Saccharomyces cerevisiae S288C: one gene and its partners. The main gene of each other region encodes a partner of the protein of the gene in region 4 in a complex. Each region holds a gene or a part of one and is shown on either strand. Other genes may lie near its edges. The genes, in order: CFT1, CFT2, YTH1 and PFS2. A codon is read from its position in the direction of its gene.

The links.
Region 1: the proteins of PFS2 (region 4) and CFT1 are in contact, whole or in part, in a cryo-EM structure (PDB 6EOJ), measured with the Saccharomyces cerevisiae proteins. Residues at the interface, in NP_014082.1 of Saccharomyces cerevisiae: Gln29 (codon at 1,827), Arg31 (codon at 1,821), Ser32 (codon at 1,818), Val33 (codon at 1,815), Asp34 (codon at 1,812), Val35 (codon at 1,809), Ser36 (codon at 1,806), Ser37 (codon at 1,803), Pro38 (codon at 1,800), Tyr39 (codon at 1,797), Ile40 (codon at 1,794), Asn41 (codon at 1,791), Leu42 (codon at 1,788), Tyr43 (codon at 1,785), Tyr44 (codon at 1,782), Asn45 (codon at 1,779), Arg46 (codon at 1,776), Arg47 (codon at 1,773), His48 (codon at 1,770), Gly49 (codon at 1,767), Leu50 (codon at 1,764), Pro51 (codon at 1,761), Asn52 (codon at 1,758), Leu53 (codon at 1,755), Val54 (codon at 1,752), Val55 (codon at 1,749), Glu56 (codon at 1,746), Pro57 (codon at 1,743), Glu58 (codon at 1,740), Thr59 (codon at 1,737); in NP_010587.1 of Saccharomyces cerevisiae: Lys110 (codon at 4,287), Gly111 (codon at 4,284), Lys112 (codon at 4,281), Ser113 (codon at 4,278), Leu114 (codon at 4,275), Val115 (codon at 4,272), Glu116 (codon at 4,269), Lys211 (codon at 3,984), Asn212 (codon at 3,981), Ile213 (codon at 3,978), Ile214 (codon at 3,975), Pro233 (codon at 3,918), Lys234 (codon at 3,915), Leu235 (codon at 3,912), Val236 (codon at 3,909), Trp237 (codon at 3,906), Ala238 (codon at 3,903), Gly239 (codon at 3,900), Asn240 (codon at 3,897), Thr242 (codon at 3,891), Ile243 (codon at 3,888), Trp279 (codon at 3,780), His282 (codon at 3,771), Thr296 (codon at 3,729), Asn297 (codon at 3,726), Asn315 (codon at 3,672), Phe317 (codon at 3,666), Met336 (codon at 3,609), Arg338 (codon at 3,603), Glu339 (codon at 3,600).
Region 2: the proteins of PFS2 (region 4) and CFT2 are in contact, whole or in part, in a cryo-EM structure (PDB 7ZGQ), measured with the Saccharomyces cerevisiae proteins. Residues at the interface, in NP_014082.1 of Saccharomyces cerevisiae: Ser186 (codon at 1,356), Ser187 (codon at 1,353), Asn188 (codon at 1,350), Ser190 (codon at 1,344), Lys191 (codon at 1,341), Ile203 (codon at 1,305), Glu212 (codon at 1,278), Trp227 (codon at 1,233), Glu230 (codon at 1,224), Met231 (codon at 1,221), Gly232 (codon at 1,218), Leu233 (codon at 1,215), Leu245 (codon at 1,179), Asp247 (codon at 1,173), Pro248 (codon at 1,170), Arg249 (codon at 1,167), Ile254 (codon at 1,152), Ser255 (codon at 1,149), Ser256 (codon at 1,146), Ile291 (codon at 1,041), Ser294 (codon at 1,032), Met295 (codon at 1,029); in NP_013216.1 of Saccharomyces cerevisiae: Asp547 (codon at 1,451), Asp548 (codon at 1,448), Tyr549 (codon at 1,445), Gly550 (codon at 1,442), Thr551 (codon at 1,439), Val552 (codon at 1,436), Val553 (codon at 1,433), Phe555 (codon at 1,427), Met557 (codon at 1,421), Phe558 (codon at 1,418), Leu559 (codon at 1,415), Pro560 (codon at 1,412), Asp561 (codon at 1,409).
Region 3: the proteins of PFS2 (region 4) and YTH1 are in contact, whole or in part, in a cryo-EM structure (PDB 6EOJ), measured with the Saccharomyces cerevisiae proteins. Residues at the interface, in NP_014082.1 of Saccharomyces cerevisiae: Arg106 (codon at 1,596), Arg107 (codon at 1,593), Leu119 (codon at 1,557), Glu128 (codon at 1,530), Thr129 (codon at 1,527), Met131 (codon at 1,521), Gln163 (codon at 1,425), Pro164 (codon at 1,422), Asn165 (codon at 1,419), Phe166 (codon at 1,416), Ser167 (codon at 1,413); in NP_015432.1 of Saccharomyces cerevisiae: His69 (codon at 933), Arg72 (codon at 924), Gly73 (codon at 921), Leu74 (codon at 918), Cys75 (codon at 915), Lys76 (codon at 912), Asn78 (codon at 906).

What each region holds. Positions count from the first base shown.
Region 1 is NC_001136.10:1,061,623-1,067,965, reverse strand, and holds CFT1 (cleavage/polyadenylation factor CFT1), read right to left. Parts: upstream 4,615-6,343; coding exon 541-4,614; downstream 1-540. Other genes in the region: mannose-ethanolamine phosphotransferase GPI11, read right to left, coding at 1-235; PRO1 (glutamate 5-kinase), read left to right, coding at 5,175-6,343. UniProt on the Saccharomyces cerevisiae protein: RNA-binding component of the cleavage and polyadenylation factor (CPF) complex, which plays a key role in polyadenylation-dependent pre-mRNA 3'-end formation and cooperates with cleavage factors including the CFIA complex and NAB4/CFIB.
Region 2 is NC_001144.5:376,087-381,073, reverse strand, and holds CFT2 (cleavage polyadenylation factor subunit CFT2), read right to left. Parts: upstream 3,090-4,987; coding exon 510-3,089; downstream 1-509. Other genes in the region: mRNA splicing protein MSL5, read right to left, coding at 1-252; AVL9 (Avl9p), read left to right, coding at 3,836-4,987. UniProt on the Saccharomyces cerevisiae protein: RNA-binding component of the cleavage and polyadenylation factor (CPF) complex, which plays a key role in polyadenylation-dependent pre-mRNA 3'-end formation and cooperates with cleavage factors including the CFIA complex and NAB4/CFIB.
Region 3 is NC_001148.4:740,928-744,099, forward strand, and holds YTH1 (cleavage polyadenylation factor RNA-binding subunit YTH1), read right to left. Parts: upstream 1,138-3,172; coding exon 511-1,137; downstream 1-510. Other genes in the region: putative protein kinase ISR1, read left to right, coding at 1-465; proteasome regulatory particle lid subunit RPN7, read left to right, coding at 1,527-2,816. UniProt on the Saccharomyces cerevisiae protein: RNA-binding component of the cleavage and polyadenylation factor (CPF) complex, which plays a key role in polyadenylation-dependent pre-mRNA 3'-end formation and cooperates with cleavage factors including the CFIA complex and NAB4/CFIB.
Region 4 is NC_001146.8:38,611-42,529, reverse strand, and holds PFS2 (cleavage polyadenylation factor subunit PFS2), read right to left. Parts: upstream 1,912-3,919; coding exon 514-1,911; downstream 1-513. Other genes in the region: prephenate dehydratase PHA2, read left to right, coding at 1-459; HXT14 (Hxt14p), read left to right, coding at 2,201-3,823. UniProt on the Saccharomyces cerevisiae protein: Integral and essential component of the cleavage and polyadenylation factor (CPF) complex, which plays a key role in polyadenylation-dependent pre-mRNA 3'-end formation and cooperates with cleavage factors including the CFIA complex and NAB4/CFIB.

The DNA of each region.
Region 1 (6,343 bases), on a different chromosome or scaffold from region 4:
TCAAAAAACTTAGCAACTTCACCGTATTGAAATTTGAAGATACAAAAACGTAGTAATAAAGTAGTGCTACTAAATGGTATGGAAATGTCATCAGAGGGGTTTTCCTCACATACACAGGTGGACGATCATGATCTACGTTCTTTTTCTCACGATTTTGGTGCGTTGTTAATGTTGTGTCATCGGAGAATGATACGGTTTTTTTCACTGTCTTTCTAGTCCTTTTTTTAGCTGGCATATTTAAATTGGACCTTCTTTAGTGCACTTGTTTATGTTCCTGCAAAGTCTTTGATTAAAGGCACCGTTTGCACTTTTGCTTTATTTCACTAACTGTTCTTTATTTGTTTTTTTTGCTGTGCAAAAAGTAACTTTTTCCTCATCCCCGCGTTACGTAAATAGTTCCGAAAATGTACGATGATACATGCGTTATTGTTACAAATCTAGTGTTTCAAGTAGTGGTTCTTATTCACTACTCGAATGCCTAGTGATAGATAGATGTATATATCGGGCTAGTTAGCATTAAATATCCTTTATATGTATTGTTCACTTACCCTGGCATAAAGATCTCATTGAAAATTCAATATTTATGATATCTCTCCATGCTTCAAAATGCGCATGTCTTCCTGCTTTCTGCGCAATGCTTTTCCGTCTATCAATAGCTAATCCACAGAACCTCCGTATAACGTTGAAATCAAGCATAGGCCTCATAGAGTGACCCATCTGATAAAAGTCGTTGGCCAATCTTTCCATGCGAGGGTTTAAACCACCTAGCTGTAATTCTCGATCGATGATTTGTTGTTGAATCACATAAAGTCTTCTGTATTTTTCCTCACTTAAAGGAACTATCTTGAAGACTGACCCATCCACTTGGCCACCAACGTTTTGAAACGATGGCACTTGAGGAGAGCCAAATTCCTCGTTTCTTGGTAAAAGCATCATACAACTATTGGTGGAATGCAACGTGAAACTGGAGCAGTGGACTAAACGTTGACCCGAAAGAGAGTTGGGTTCATCTGGCGCATATTTTAAAACATGAACATTTCTGTCAGCATCTGTTGCCGCAAAATACATATCCCCTCCGTTCACTAAAAACTCTAGCGACATTGTTTGAAATTTCGACATACTTCTGCCCAATGAAATCATCCTGTATGGTTCTGCGTCAAAACCAATAAATTGGAACCCCTGCATAGCGTCACCAATTATCAAAAGATTACCAAAGCTTTTAGAATCCGTAACGAAAACAGGAATATCCAAAAATGCCACTGGTATGACGGAATTATCTTCTTGGATATCTCTTACTAGAACTTTTTGGCTTTGACTAATCATGAATCTTCCACTAACCTCACAAACAGTAGATACAGTACCACTGACCTCTTCTTGAAAAATTTCCTTGAGCTTATAATTGGTATCAGGTTTACCAGGTTCGGGAACAACTTCTATCACATCATAAATATGGAAAGCGCCAGTTGGTGGAGTGTCTTCAGTGGTGGCATTGGCAACACCGGCTATAATGTATTCTCTTTTCCTCTTAGTTTTTGAATTAATTTGAATCATAGAGGATCTCATTTCATTGACGACAGAATTCTTTGGAAAGTCGATTTTATCAATGACCTTCCAACTTTTTGGATTAATGAGTAAAATTCCACTTTGAAATCCTTCCGCATGAGGAACATTCTCGTCATAACCAATTACTTTTTCGCCATCTTCTCCTAATGCTTCGTAAGGAACCCGCTTGCAATAAGATACAAGAAACAATTGAGCCCTTTCATGATAGACTAGTTTTTGCAGAGTTTTGTAGTCATCAAGCACATTGCTGATCTTTATCTGTTTCAATGGTAATTTGTTACCATAGTACATATTGTCAGTAGTTAGTGTGTAAACTCTGGCGTTTTTAATATCATCTACACACATGACTGAACGCTCGCTCCAGGGAGTGACTGAAACCAATGGTATGTTTCCGAATTTGAAAATCTTCGGTGTGGAATCATCTTCTTTTATTAATATGTATGGAACGCTACCGGTTACAAATATTACCGAATAACCGTTGTAATCGGGAAAGTAATGCATGATTCTTTCGATGGAACTAACACCCTTGGCGTATGCATTGTCAGGAGCACCAGTAATAGCTAGATCATTTCTTGTAACGTTTCTATAAAATCTACTACGTCTTTGTGGTAATTTTCTATATTGGTAAATCTCTCCTCCGAAGGTTAATATTGTCAGGTATTCTTCTTTATTGTCATGGCCCAGTTTGTTTATCATTACTTGTTTAATCGATGGATCAGGGACGATCTCATCGCCCAGTTGATAAGTGCTAATGTATAAAGATTCATTTAATTGGTCAACACCATTTAGTTGAAAGATTCTGTCATTATGGTCTTTAGTAAAAAAGATAATTTGGTTATCTGCAGTAACAAATGTAAACAATAACTGTTCTTCTTGAGACTTACTCAACCCAATCAAAAATTCATTACACATATTGCTTTTCAAAATCAAACCAGATGTAATAACCATTTCATTCAAAATTTCTGGCAAATCAACTTTTAACAATTTTCTTTTATTCTTTTCCTCCAATTCAAATATCTTAATATCACCCCTTGATACGGTAACTAGTATATACGGATCCATGACGGAAACATGAATAACTTCGTAGTCAAATTTAATTGTGGTGAGACGTCTAAAATGTGTATCATATAAATATAAGTGATTGGTGGTGACTTGTATTATTCTTTTTTCTTCACCAAACATTGAAATGTAAACTGTAGTAGCATCTCTTCTTAAACGGCCGCCCTTATGAAGTTTGAAGTTATTGTCACTTTCATATATGTCACTCCGGGATTTTGTGGAATCAGTAGTTATTAAGTACCTATCTCTTCCTTTGATCTTCAGATTCCAGATTTGTGTTATACTGATAAATTTCAATGCTAATTCAATTTCCGGTTGAACACTAGTCTGTATGACGGTCAAATGAGAACCTGAACCATTTCCCGATGTGGCAACTAGCGAATACTCGTTTTTGTTTGGATTTGGTAGTCCTTTTACCACATCATCAATGGAAGATACCTTACCTACAGTTAACGATGTGATGGGACCAACATTCCTTAGAGATGATAACAGTTCGATATCGAAAGGTTGAACAGTTTCCACAGTGCCTTTGGAATCATTAGTTGTTAGTCCATTTTCAGGAGCTTCATCGGCGTATAAATCGTCCATTTCCTCATCATCGTCGTCATTGATATCCATCAAACTATTTGTACCTGAAGATGGATTGTGTGCTTCTCTTGTTTCAATGGTAGATTTCAAATTATTCAATCTGAGAACCAAAGCATTTCCTGAACCAAACCCAATAAATAAGTCCATATTTTTGTTTGAATTGGTGGCATTCAAACGTGTTATACATTTTGGATTGGAGTTCTCCTTCAAAAGATCATTGACTATAGGTAGCTTGAAAATATCGAATTTAATCAGTAACCTGCCCTCTGCTTCCATTTGGATATAGTATATATTGGATTTCAAGTCCATAAGTAGTAGTGTTTCGTCATTATTACTTCCTCCGTTTTTGCTCTTGGACGAAGGTATCCAAATTGACGTAGTGTTTTTCTCCCTGAACATAATTTCCAATGAAGAATTGTTGATAATTTTTGTTTTCTGTAACTCTTTATCAGCAAATGAGTTTAATAATACTGTCGATTGTAAAACGCCAGTATTATCTAGAAATGCCAGTTCATTGGTTCCCACAATGATAGCACCATTCGAAACAGGTACAATGGTGTGTAGATCCCAAGGCAGTTCCTTGACAAATGCTATTGTGGTTGATTCAATCTTGGTGGCACTTTCTGCAGGCTGGATATTTAATGTGAGTATAACGTATTGTGTAGGGAGTTTTGAAATGGTGGTGTTTCCTGCCCAAACAAGCTTTGGTTGGTATAAGAGCGCTATCGTTGGTTTAGTAAAATTTTTCAAGAACTGAATATCTATGATATTTTTGGCGCCTTCGTACAACTCACTCGCTACCAATACCACGCTTGGAGCCGTGAACTTGTCACCTAACTTGGTTCTCTTCCTCTTATTGAAAGTATTCGTCCCTTGGGATTTTTGATTCATGCTATGGATTAATTCACTATCGTCTATGTTCTCGTCCTCATCTTCTTCCTCCTCATCGTCGTCATTTTTATTGACATGGAAGGGTAGAAAAGCGATAATGTCATTATTGAACAGTAAGGCACAAGAACTTCCAGGATCCATTCTCAAGGTGGAAATTTTGGCCAGCTCTACCAACGATTTACCCTTGAACTTTCCTTCGTAGTAATGCAGGCTTAGGGTATCGATTGAGTTTGTTAGCGTGTTGAACTTTAAAATAGAGATTTTAGCGACGCCTGTGCATAAAAGCAGGCAACTTAACGGACTGTCTTTTTGGGGAATGAGGCCTATATCGGTGATCAAGCCATGAAACTTAAACTCATCAGTCAAATACAGTTTACCATCCCTAGTAGGCCTGTAGACAGAAAGGATATTTGTTCGCACCACTAAGAGCTCCTCATAATCTGAAGTAGTAAAATGTGTTGCTAATGAATGAGACACAACAGTAGCGTCAAGCACATCATCATATACATTCATAGGGCCAGTAGCTAGAGTAAAAAGCGAATCTAGGTTAGTACCTGATAGTTTTAATCAGTGAAGTGTTCAAGGGACGGTGATCTTCCTCAATTTACATATGATTGCTTTAACGCTGCTCTGTGAAATATGTCACCTCGAACTTACCTTATATTAAGATCACTTACTACGTTGTCTTATTGGGAGCCGACGGGATGAGGAAGCACAAAATGTCACTAATAGGGCTGGTCAGTGGCACAGTGAATCATAATATATCGGTTGAGCACCAGTTAAAGTATGAACATGTTAAATTTAAGACTCTCACTTATCAATGGTTACATTTTGGTCTAAATTTATTTATTTATGACACTATCAGGTACCTTGGTAAAGGAATTGAAAATAAATAGCACCCACACATCGCATGATGGCAGGAAATGAAAAATTACATCAGCGAACTAATGCTTTCTCGATGAATTATTCATCCATCAAAACGGTCTTTCAAGATTAATGTCTAGTTGCTTCAAAGATAGGCATAGTTTAGGTCATTTTATCAGCTACTGTAATATAGTCATAAGAACGCGAAAATGAAGGATGCTAATGAGAGTAAATCGTATACTATAGTGATCAAATTAGGCTCTTCATCGCTAGTAGATGAAAAAACCAAAGAACCTAAGTTAGCTATCATGTCGCTTATTGTCGAAACTGTAGTCAAATTGAGAAGAATGGGACACAAAGTTATCATCGTGTCCAGTGGTGGTATTGCTGTTGGTTTGAGGACTATGCGTATGAATAAAAGACCAAAACATTTAGCAGAAGTTCAGGCCATCGCAGCTATTGGGCAGGGTAGATTGATCGGGAGATGGGATCTTCTGTTTTCGCAATTTGATCAACGTATCGCTCAAATTCTATTGACCAGAAATGATATTCTGGACTGGACCCAATATAAGAACGCTCAAAACACAATTAATGAATTGTTGAACATGGGCGTTATTCCCATTGTGAATGAAAACGACACACTATCTGTTAGAGAAATCAAATTTGGTGACAATGACACTTTATCAGCAATTACTTCTGCTTTAATCCATGCAGATTATCTTTTCTTACTGACAGATGTTGACTGTTTGTATACTGATAATCCAAGGACAAACCCAGATGCCATGCCGATCTTAGTTGTCCCAGATCTCTCAAAGGGTTTGCCCGGTGTGAATACTGCTGGTGGTTCAGGTTCTGACGTTGGGACCGGTGGTATGGAAACTAAATTGGTTGCTGCAGATTTGGCAACGAATGCCGGTGTTCATACGTTGATCATGAAAAGCGATACACCTGCGAATATAGGTAGAATTGTCGAGTATATGCAAACTCTAGAACTTGACGATGAAAATAAAGTTAAACAAGCATATAATGGCGATTTAACGGATTTGCAAAAAAGAGAATTTGAGAAATTAAAGGCTCTTAACGTTCCACTACATACGAAGTTCATTGCTAATGATAATAAACACCATCTAAAGAATAGAGAGTTTTGGATTTTACACGGTCTTGTCTCTAAAGGCGCTGTTGTTATAGACCAAGGTGCGTACGCAGCCTTAACAAGGAAAAATAAGGCGGGATTATTGCCAGCAGGTGTTATTGATGTTCAGGGCACTTTCCATGAGTTAGAATGTGTTGACATAAAAGTTGGTAAAAAGTTACCAGATGGCACGTTAGATCCAGATTTTCCCTTGCAAACAGTAGGCAAGGCAAGATGCAATTACAC
Region 2 (4,987 bases), on a different chromosome or scaffold from region 4:
AAAATCGTTCGTACGCAGTTTGATGGTAATTTCTTGAATCCTAAACATGACTTGATAGGAGTATATTTGTTCCCTAGTTAGGGCCCCACTAATTTTTGATGGAAGAGAATTGAATCGATGGACATCGCTTTCTACCGTGTTCTTTCTCCATAACGAAAGGTTGACGTTTGGAGGAACCTTTGCTTTTTTTTCTTCCATACTGCTTCCTTTTCTATTTTCAAAGTATCTAGAGTTAATCCTTCTAAAACTCATCAACAATTTCCTTTTATTGTGGGATAGAATAGCACTTGTAGCAAATTAGGGAAAAAATTCTGCTTTGAAAATTTCCGCTTGGTGAAATTCAGCAGAAAAAGAAAGAAATCAATAATGCTAATATCGTTAAAAGTGAGTTAGAATGTTATATACAGATAATAGCGGTGCGAGATACACAGCAATTTATGTCACATACTGTTTTGTGGGCAGTCCACGAACGTAAATTGAACCTTTTATTTGTGCTGTATACAAGAAGGCTAGATTTTTGCTAACATATCCGTAACCAATTTTTTGACAGTATCAAAAAGTTCGGAAGGCGTACCATCGATAATAGTTTCTGCATCATTGATTTTGCGGACTGCTACTTTTTCATTTATGACAAGTGTACCTTCCCCTTTAAATTCTGCAATGTAGTTTTTCTCTGTGAGAAGTTTCTTTAATTGTGCTAACCTAACGTCACCGATTGACAACGCACCTGTTTTATGGCTCCTAGATGAACCGTGTAATGGTTTCAAGACTAGTTTACTCCTTGACGCTGTTTTTTGATGATTGTTCACTTGCGGTAGGCTCTCCTTAACCAGCCTGCCAACGACAGTGGCAACTGTATAACTATCACTGATACGTTGCCATTTCAAAAGGTTATCGAGGTTGGAGTCAATGGAGATATCCAGGGTCTTTATTGTTGTACTGAATTCCACTATCTTATTTAATGGCATGTTGACCACTTCAATATTTTTCTTGATAAGTTTTGCCGTAATTTCTTCATTTTGAATCTGTTTGGGGGCGGAAAGAACTATTTTTCTAGATTTTAGCGATGGCCATATAATAGATGCAGACCTTTGATCAACTAAACTCTGTAAATTTAGGATTACTACGGAGCATTTCAATTGGACATTTACAGTTGAGATTGTTCTTTTGGAGAGCGTTTTGTCTATCTTTAAATAGTCAAGGTTATCAAAATTTTCTGCTTCTCCGGTTCCAGAAAATCCCGAGTAACGAGAAGCACGGTGTTTGCTCCTTTTGCTAATTGGATCACTCATATTATAACCATCTTCTTCTTCATTTTTGTTATCTTCTTCGTTTACAGGGCTCGTGGTTTTAGCACCGTCTTTGAGAGGTCTTTTCCTGCTATTTTGATTAACATTGTCAGAATCATCAGGTAAAAACATCGTAAAATCTACAACAGTACCATAATCATCTTTCTTGATTTTAGCGGGGTTAAATGGGAACATTTTATGTTTTGAAGCGGCACTTGGTTGAATTATAATGTCTACAGGAACTTCCGTATTTTTTTTCGCTGCTGATTTCTCAGAGTTATCCTTGAGTAAATTCAACAAATTGTCGTTTTCTTCCTCTTCATCATCATCTTCGTCACCCCCCATAATATGATCAATCGGTGGTACTCCATTGACGTTTTCCACTAAAATGTCTTGATTTCTCATTGCCCTCTCTCCGTTGGTATCATCTATGATTGCGTTGCCGTTAGCCAGTTTCTTAGACTCTCTTTTCACCAGTAGAATTTTCTTATTTCTGTCCCTTTTCTTTTCTTTAAGCTGTACTTTAAACGCCTCTGTTTCCTCTTTACTCAAGGGTTCTTCTTTTATGGTGTCTATTGAAATGTAATTATCGCAGAGGAATGATTTACCATCTTCAGGAAATGTTTTCCAATTTCTTTCATCTTGTTCAACAATTTCTAGTATCTTGTCTAAAGACGACGCACATTCAAAGCTCGGCTTGGTCAAAATCAAGGTTGTCTTCTCAGAATTACCAACTTTAATTATCACTTCATTAATCAAAGCTCCTACCTCAGATACGAAGCAAATCTTTGAACCAGGATATTTACTCAATTCGTTTGGTGCGATGATTTTGATCCGTGATCCAATTTCAAATGGAGAAGTATTATTTCTGTTTTCCCATGTCTTAAGTAGTGAAGGGGACAGCCACTCGAGCATTGATTTGGCATATGTTAGAGTTCTTCCTCTCGCGTAAGACAGAATAAGTACAGGTACTTGTGTGTGCGCATTGATCTTTGTGCTTTCAAATAATAACTCATGAACTTGTGTGAACAGGTCCAGAAATTTGCCACTCATATCTACCGGTATTATAACGGACCCATCCGAACTCAAACCTTTCTTTAATGTATCTTTAAAGATTTTTGAACGTTTTTTAAACGGTTGAGAGGAGCCAAACCTGTCCAAAGTAGTAATTATTGCAGAGGGCCTCATCAAAGTTGATAAGGGCTTACCAGTGGCGTCCAATATAGAAGCAGCATTTAGTATGTTATCTCTAGTGTGGTTCCATCGCTTTGCATAAACCAATTTCTCTGAGTATGTGCTAATGCACCAAATAGAACCACCTGGACACACACCAGCATTGTACGCCAGTAAAGTCAATCCATCGTATCTTGATCGTAGATCTACCAATTGCGAGTACTTCAAAGGTACAATATGATCAAAAGATATCTCAATATCTTCAAGATCGAGTTTATTTGTGTCATATGGACCTATAACACCTGCAGATGCATATGAATCTATGGTGGAAACTCTCCCTAAGTTGATAACAGGAAGAGTTGCGTAAACTTGAATTCTGGATATGAAATGCGAGGTAAAATTATAGTACAGAAGGGAATGAGCACCTAAACATTCAATTGTTGGTTGTGATAGTATTATTACATCAATTTCCGGTATCACTTTTTCCCAGTACTTGATGCATTGCTCATACGATACTTTAGATGGATTCCAACCGGGATCGATTAACAAGGTGACGTTATCAAATCGTACCACTGAACCAACGGTGGTTCCTGATCCATCATCACAGCAATTGTATTTATAAGTCATATATATTCGTCGCCCTCAATGTATGTTCTTCATTTCATCTTCTGTGTTATTTCTTTAGCGAACAAATATTCGTGAATTCGATGTTAAAACTGCAGATTGTTTAAGAAAAGCGGGAAAACGCCGCCGAAAGAAAAAATCTTTTTCTAGTAATATTTCTTATTACAACAAACATTGAACATTGAATGACTTCAATCCGTAAGGGTTCATTGCTTGTATAGTTGGACTATATGTCATAGGTGAATCATTATTTCTTGAACTCAGGTTCGCTTTACTCAGTCTAGTGCACGTGAGATTACACTGCAAAAACTCCATGAACCAAAGAACTTACCTTAGACTTGCATTTGGGAGCAAAGTTTACACTAATTAATGCTTTTTATTTTTATTGTCCCAACCTTCTAATGTGTGGATTATTAATGGGGTAAGTTGAACTTCTATTACTTCCATTGAACGTTTGAGAAGTATCATTGCTTAGGAGGTTTGCCTAGCAAAAATAGCCGCTGAAATGATGCTTGTCCGTCGGGTAATGATTATACGAACGGGTAACGGAAGATATGGAAGCTAACCCAACAGAGAGCAGTCAATAATGGATCTTGCATAAGAATGTACGGCCCGATCAAGCATCCTTACAGCTCATTCACGAAGTTTCCTTTTCAAGAAAATTTTGAAGCCTTAAAGGAATCCAAGCAGGAAGACCATATCAAACTAACATATACATTCTGCCTCGCTGCAACCTTGTTGTCAAAATAATGGATGAACACGAGGAAGCAGTCATCTTCGGTATCTGCCTTGTGGACTTTCATCACAAAAGAGGCCCTGAAATAGAATACTGGTATGGCTTACCTGAGGGCACCCAAAGTGCAGAACTATGGCCAAATTTACCCTTCCAGGCCCTTCCTGATGGTTCTCACTCGTTTGAAGAAACATTTACTTATTTCACATTACTATATGATGAAAGAAGACAAAGGAGCCCTCCCAACGGGGCAACTGATCTGAGTGATGATAGCATCAATGACAACACGACTTTGTTTGCCATATCTTGCTCGAGACAGATAAAGAGTGATGAATTGGTCACTAAAGATAAGGATGTAACACGATCTACTGTACAGAAGGCAATTGTAGTCATCTCAAGGCAACCAATCTTCGGTCAAATCAAGGACAAACTTAGTATTGTGACTAATGCTTTTTTCTTGCAGCATGATTTTGGGGACAGGAAGATAATCCAGTCTTTATACGAAAACCTGAAGTCGATTTACACGCCTGCATCATTGGTCAGAAATGCCGAAAATCGTCTTTATATTGGGTTATGTCTGAGAAAGATACTACATGATTTTAAGAGAAACGCTTTAGTCTTATTGAAAGCAATTATGCTTGAAAAAAAAATTATAGTTTACGGCAACGACGTGGAAGCTTTGTGTAATTTACAGTTCGGTCTGATCAGCTTAATTCCGGACTTGATGTCAAATTTGCAGGATTCTGGCAGTCCTCAGTTGTTTCAGGATATTTCGAAATTAAATGTTGTGGACTCGTTTAAATCAAGCAATCGAGAATCAGTGTTGAGATTCTTAGGTTTTCCATTACCGATTTTCGAAAAAGGTGGACTATTTTCACCCTATACTCCACTGCAGCAAATGAATGACATACGGTCAGAACGTACTTTGTTTTTTATGATTGGAAGTTCCAACACATTGCTTGCTGAACAAAAGGAGGAACTGTGCCACATATTTGTCAATACAGACAATTCCACTGTAGATATTCTGGACAAGACTTTGAACCCCGTCCTCCAATTGTCAAGTCATGATAAAAAATGGATTGAATCTATATCTGGAATTGTATCAGACACATGGAACGAAAATGATGATGAAACTCCAAAAAACTCTCAATTTGAAGGCAGTGAGGAT
Region 3 (3,172 bases), on a different chromosome or scaffold from region 4:
GAAATGCATGTTCTTAATGGAGGCCATTGTAAGGATTTTGACTTCTACCTTGCTGACTTTACGTCGGCATTTCACATTAATCAAACACCAACAGATCTGAATACCACGGTAGAATACTGTGCACCAGAACTAATTGATAGCTCCTCCGATCATGTTCCTACATTTGAATCGGATTTGTATGCCGTGGGGCTTTGTCTTTTATCATTTATATCGCAGCATGAGCCTTACAACGAACTTCAGGCGTTAGTGTCGCATGGATCCTCTCCAGGTATTGGCAGTTCATCTATACAGCAGTCCCAATGGCTGATAAATGCTCTTTTGAAAAAAGATCCTATAAATCTAAACATGTTAAGAAACGATTTATTCCAGGATTGGAAGTCAGAACTAGCATTATTGTCCAGAATTCTGGTTGATAGACTTCCTCTAGAAAATCTCATAACTATACTCGATAGTAACTATATATGATAATATACATGTCTATGAAATCGAAAACCCCCAGCCATGCATAGATCAAACTTCACCGTTTATAATTGCGTTTAAACGCCTTTCCTTTTCTTCATCCATTTTCCTGGTATTTATCTCATCGTCTCTCTTAATTCTTAATTTACTACCTTCATCTGGGATTATGAACTGTGGATGTTCCATATCACATTCATCCTTCCCTAAAGGACAAAATCCGGTCATGTATCTTTGACAGAAAACCTTCTTAATATGCCGTCTAGGACAAGAACTCCCCAGAGGACAGAATCCCATTTCGTAATTTTCACATTTTGGTATCTTGCTAGCGGGATCTATGTGTAGATATTGACAATCTGGACTTTGTGTACAGTACCCGTTTTTGCTGAAGAAGACACATTCAGGCATTTTTCGAAGATTGTATTCATGTAAGTATTCACATTGGTCATTCTTTTTGCACAACCCTCGAAGCCAATGTCTACAAACAATTTTATTCTGAAATATTGGTAACACATGCTTTTTTGGACATAACGGTCCCCTCGGACATGATTTAGGGCCTTCTCTAGAATTGTAAAATTCACAAATAGGTCTGTCAGGATCGAGTGAAAACGAATACTCTTGCCTGAGGAAAGGTTCAAATTTAAAAGGATATTTTGCTGTATCGGGGTGAATTAGGCTCATTACATAAACTTATTGATTTTATTCGTCCTAGAATACTTGTTTAAGATACAGTGCAGAAATCTTTAGCTTATAATTCAGAAATGTGATATTTTGAAGCGATTGGAACAACAAAGTACAGTGCATTCTATATAATTATTAAAAGTTATAGTGGACTATTGTAATAACACTTGTTTTCCCCATATCATAACCGACGGCGCGTAAATGCATGCTCAATCAAGTTTCCGAATAAGTTAAGTTTGCCACCCATTGAGGATTAATATACACAAGGCAGCATTGAAAAACCTAATTGTTAACACTACACAAATCTCTATTGTTGTAGTAAACTGCGCTTTTTACCACTGTTACAATAGTTACTAATACACGCAAAAATTCTGGATAAACACGGCAAAATGGTAGACGTGGAAGAGAAAAGTCAAGAAGTTGAATATGTTGATCCAACGGTGAATAGGGTGCCCAATTATGAGGTATCTGAAAAGGCGTTTCTTTTGACACAATCAAAGGTTAGTATTGAACAGCGTAAGGAAGCGGCAGAGTTCGTTTTAGCCAAAATTAAAGAGGAAGAAATGGCCCCTTATTATAAATATCTTTGCGAGGAATACCTTGTTAATAATGGCCAATCTGACTTGGAACACGATGAAAAGTCAGATTCTTTAAACGAATGGATCAAATTTGACCAGGAGCTATACAATGAATTGTGCAAAAAAAATGAAAGTAAGATTAAAGAGTTAAATGAAAAGATCCAAAAATTGGAAGAAGATGATGAAGGTGAACTAGAACAAGCTCAAGCCTGGATTAATCTGGGTGAATATTATGCACAAATCGGTGACAAAGATAATGCTGAAAAGACGCTAGGGAAATCATTATCGAAGGCTATTTCCACAGGCGCCAAAATTGATGTTATGCTAACAATTGCAAGGCTGGGGTTCTTTTATAACGACCAACTTTATGTTAAGGAGAAGTTGGAAGCAGTCAATTCTATGATTGAAAAAGGTGGTGACTGGGAGAGAAGAAATAGATATAAAACATACTATGGTATCCACTGCTTGGCCGTAAGAAACTTTAAGGAAGCGGCAAAGTTATTGGTCGATTCTCTAGCAACTTTCACCTCTATTGAATTAACTTCCTATGAAAGCATTGCCACATATGCATCGGTCACAGGTTTATTCACTCTGGAAAGAACAGACCTAAAATCCAAAGTCATCGATTCACCTGAATTGTTATCTTTAATCTCAACAACTGCCGCACTACAATCTATCTCGTCGTTAACAATTTCCCTTTACGCGTCCGATTATGCCAGTTACTTTCCATATCTTTTGGAAACATATGCAAATGTTTTGATTCCATGTAAATATTTGAATAGACATGCAGATTTCTTTGTTAGAGAAATGAGAAGAAAAGTCTACGCACAATTGTTGGAATCATATAAGACTTTGTCGCTGAAATCTATGGCAAGCGCATTTGGTGTTTCGGTTGCGTTCTTGGATAACGACCTGGGTAAGTTTATTCCAAATAAGCAACTAAATTGTGTCATTGATAGAGTTAATGGGATCGTAGAGACCAACAGGCCAGACAACAAAAATGCTCAATACCATCTGCTAGTTAAGCAAGGTGACGGTTTGCTAACAAAATTACAAAAATACGGTGCAGCAGTGAGATTGACAGGGTCAGATCGTGTTTGAGGAATTTACATTATTTAGCAACGCACATAATCACATCAACATGTATACATAGTTTGGAGACTTGAGTAAATAGTAGTGAGAGGATATATGGATCGGTTCAAGTCAAAGGATTGTAATCATCCTCTTTCTCCTTTAAAACGGAGAGCTTCTATAGTTTTCAAGCTTCCATTAAAAATTTCAGTATTTAGTTCGGAAAGTTACATAATTGCAATGTCTCATAAAGGACCATGCTTCTTTTGAAAGTGAGGAATCTAAGGCTGAAAATGCCAATTCTTAAAAAGTAGTATAACCAGAAAAAGGAATCCCCATAAAAGGAAATTCATGATACGGTCATTGTTTCTTCATTTGTTTAATAC
Region 4 (3,919 bases):
TGCGACAACATTCTGCATTTAGCCATTGCTAGTGAAACAGCTGCCCAATTGCATAAGGCGTACATCATTGAACATTCGATAAATGATAAGCTAGGAAATACAACAAGATTTTTAGTATTGAAGAGAAGGGAGAACGCAGGCGACAATGAAGTAGAAGACACTGGATTACTACGGGTTAACCTACTCACCTTTACTACTCGTCAAGATGACCCTGGTTCTTTGGTAGATGTTTTGAACATACTAAAAATCCATTCACTCAACATGTGTTCTATAAACTCTAGACCATTCCATTTGGACGAACATGATAGAAACTGGCGATATTTATTTTTCATTGAATATTACACCGAGAAGAATACCCCAAAGAATAAAGAAAAATTCTATGAAGATATCAGCGACAAAAGTAAACAGTGGTGCCTGTGGGGTACATTCCCCAGAAATGAGAGATATTATCACAAATAATATGTTATATAGTCTTTTTATTTATGTATCCTAAAATCTCGTCAAAGCGCACTTTTATATGCTTAAACCTGGCAATGTGGAACTCTTGATGTTTGAATCGATGCCTGGGATTTCTTGACGCGGTTTCTTGTTGATGAATCCATTCATGTTTGGTAACGCATGTGGTTCAAGTGTAGCTGGTGGTGGCGGGGCCGCACCGAATTCACTCTTCTCTCTCACAGCATTGATGTCGTTATTGATGCCAAAAAACCATCCATTTATCTTCTTATTGTTATAAGTTGGATCATCATATGCATTAGGATCAATTGGCCTCGCTCTAGTCCAAAATCTTATGGTTCTATCCTTAGCTGCTGTGGCAAATATATGTCCTACTGGATTATATGATAACGAGGTGATACACTTATCATGGGCGTATGGAATAGTCAAAATAGGTTCGTTTAGATTTTGTAAAAGATCAAAATGCTTTAGCGAGCCGTCATAGCACGCCAGAGTGAACATAGATTCATTTATTGGGTGCCATTCTAGTGTCATATAATCCGTTTCATCTCTTACACACATTAGTTCCTTCATACTGTATCTAATGTCGAACACACGACACGATTTATCTTTTGAAATCGCCATTAATAGATTTCCCTTGGTGGGTTGAAATCGCGTCTTCAAGACAGTATGTTTGAACTTCAGAATTGATGATATGCAGTTTCCGGAACGCGGATCCCACAGTTTTACTAAATTGTCCTTAGATGCGGAGGCAATTAACCCCATCTCGGGATGCCAATCACAACTTTTCACGTCCCAGTGGTGCCCCGATAATACTCTTTCTTGTTTGCCATTGCTGAAGTTCCAAATCTTCAAGATATTATCATCTGAACAGGTAACAAATTTCGAGTCGTTACTACTGAATGCCATATCCCTAATACTTTCCGTGTGTGCAGCATCAATTTCTTTAACCATACTAAAGTTTGGTTGCCATATCTTAATCATTCCATCTGCGTCCCCACTAATCATCCAATCACTGTCGTGAGAATATTTCATTGTAGTCACAGCCGAATCATGTGCTTGCATGAGGGTTTCAAACGTAAACGAAGATGCGTTCCATAGAGAAAATTCTCCGCTATAAGTTGCTACTACAAGTCTTCTGCCTTCTGGGGTCCATTGGATGGCGGGTATCACATGTTTCACTTTATTCGAGCTTAAATGCGTAAATTTGCTGGGCAAATTTATGACTCGATCTCGACCTCTGTAGGCATTAGGCGGCATTATATCTATTGTGTATGAAGTTTCTGGCTCTACCACTAGGTTCGGTAATCCATGTCGTCTGTTGTAATATAGGTTAATATACGGAGAACTCACGTCTACCGATCGTCTCTGTGTCACATATTTCTTCAGAGGTGGTTGTTGTGACTGCTGAATTTGATTCTGATTCTGGTACTGGTTCTGATTATGCCCGTCCATAACGTGTCTATGTTGAGCTTCTTAATATCTACCCAGCAACCTGTATATCAGTGCTTTCTTTAATTATACTTCCCTTGACAAATCGATACGTCGGCCCTCAAAAGAAGAGGAAAAAAAATAGAAAAAAAAATAGAAAATAAAAATGTCAGTAATTCTAATGATGACACAAATTCAAATAGCAACATTGAATACTGTTTAACAGAACAATTAACCACTTTTAATTAGAAATACTAACAAAGAATTTGTTAACGTATTCTTAGGAAGTAAAGTACTTCAATTATTGCTAGAAATGACTGCTCAGATTCCGTATCAACATAGCTCGGGATACATCTCTCATTTTCACAATAATGAGCTTGATGCAGGCAGGGGAAGGGATTATAATGTAACCATTAAGTATCTAGATGATAAAGAAGAAAATATAGAAGGCCAAGCAGCAAAGATTAGTCACAATGCGAGTCTGCATATTCCCGTTTTATTGTGCTTGGTAATCTCGCTTGGTGGCTTTATTTTTGGATGGGACATTGGAACCATCGGTGGAATGACAAATATGGTTAGCTTTCAAGAAAAATTTGGCACAACTAATATTATCCATGACGATGAAACAATTTTTGTATCTACTAAGAAACTTACTGATCTGCAAATAGGCCTAATTATCAGTATTTTTAACATCAGTTGTGGCGTAGGGGCTTTAACTCTGTCAAAAATCGGTGATTGGATTGGTAGGAAAGGTGGTATATGGTTTGCCTTAGTAGTGTACTGCATCGGTATAACCATTCAAATTCTCTCCTATGGAAGGTGGTATTTTTTGACATTGGGAAGAGCCGTAACGGGAATCGGTGTGGGAGTAACCACTGTCTTGGTGCCAATGTTTCTCTCCGAGAATTCTCCACTAAAAATCAGAGGCTCCATGGTATCTACGTATCAATTGATTGTAACATTTGGCATACTAATGGGAAACATTTTAAATTTCATATGCGAAAGATGTTATAAAGATCCTACACAAAATATAGCCTGGCAATTGCCATTGTTCTTGGGATACATTTGGGCAATTATAATTGGAATGTCACTTGTTTACGTTCCTGAATCTCCACAGTACTTGGCAAAAATCAAAAATGATGTGCCCTCTGCTAAATACTCTTTTGCGAGGATGAATGGCATCCCTGCGACGGATAGCATGGTAATTGAATTCATCGATGATTTGCTGGAAAATAACTATAATAATGAGGAAACTAACAACGAATCAAAAAAGCAAAGCTTAGTTAAAAGAAACACATTTGAATTTATTATGGGAAAGCCAAAGTTATGGTTGAGACTGATTATTGGTATGATGATAATGGCATTTCAACAGCTGTCCGGAATAAATTATTTCTTTTATTACGGAACGTCTGTTTTCAAAGGTGTCGGGATTAAGGATCCTTATATTACTTCAATCATACTGTCAAGTGTTAACTTCCTTTCTACGATATTAGGCATATATTACGTGGAGAAATGGGGCCACAAGACATGTTTATTATATGGTTCAACAAATTTATTATTTTATATGATGACATATGCTACTGTGGGGACATTTGGAAGAGAAACGGACTTCTCAAATATTGTTTTAATTATCGTGACTTGTTGTTTTATTTTTTGGTTTGCAATAACATTGGGCCCAGTTACATTTGTACTAGTGTCCGAATTGTTCCCTCTAAGAACGAGGGCCATATCAATGGCTATTTGCACATTTATCAATTGGATGTTCAATTTCTTAATATCACTTTTAACACCAATGATTGTATCCAAAATTGATTTCAAACTAGGATACATATTTGCTGCTTGCCTATTAGCGTTGATAATATTCAGTTGGATACTAGTTCCTGAAACGAGGAAAAAGAATGAGCAAGAGATCAATAAAATATTTGAACCGGAGTAGATATTACATAATATAAATAGAAGAAGTAGCAAAGTGCAGTTTTTTTTTCCATAATAAATAACCATCAGTAACTAAGTGGCCGTGAGGACTGACCAC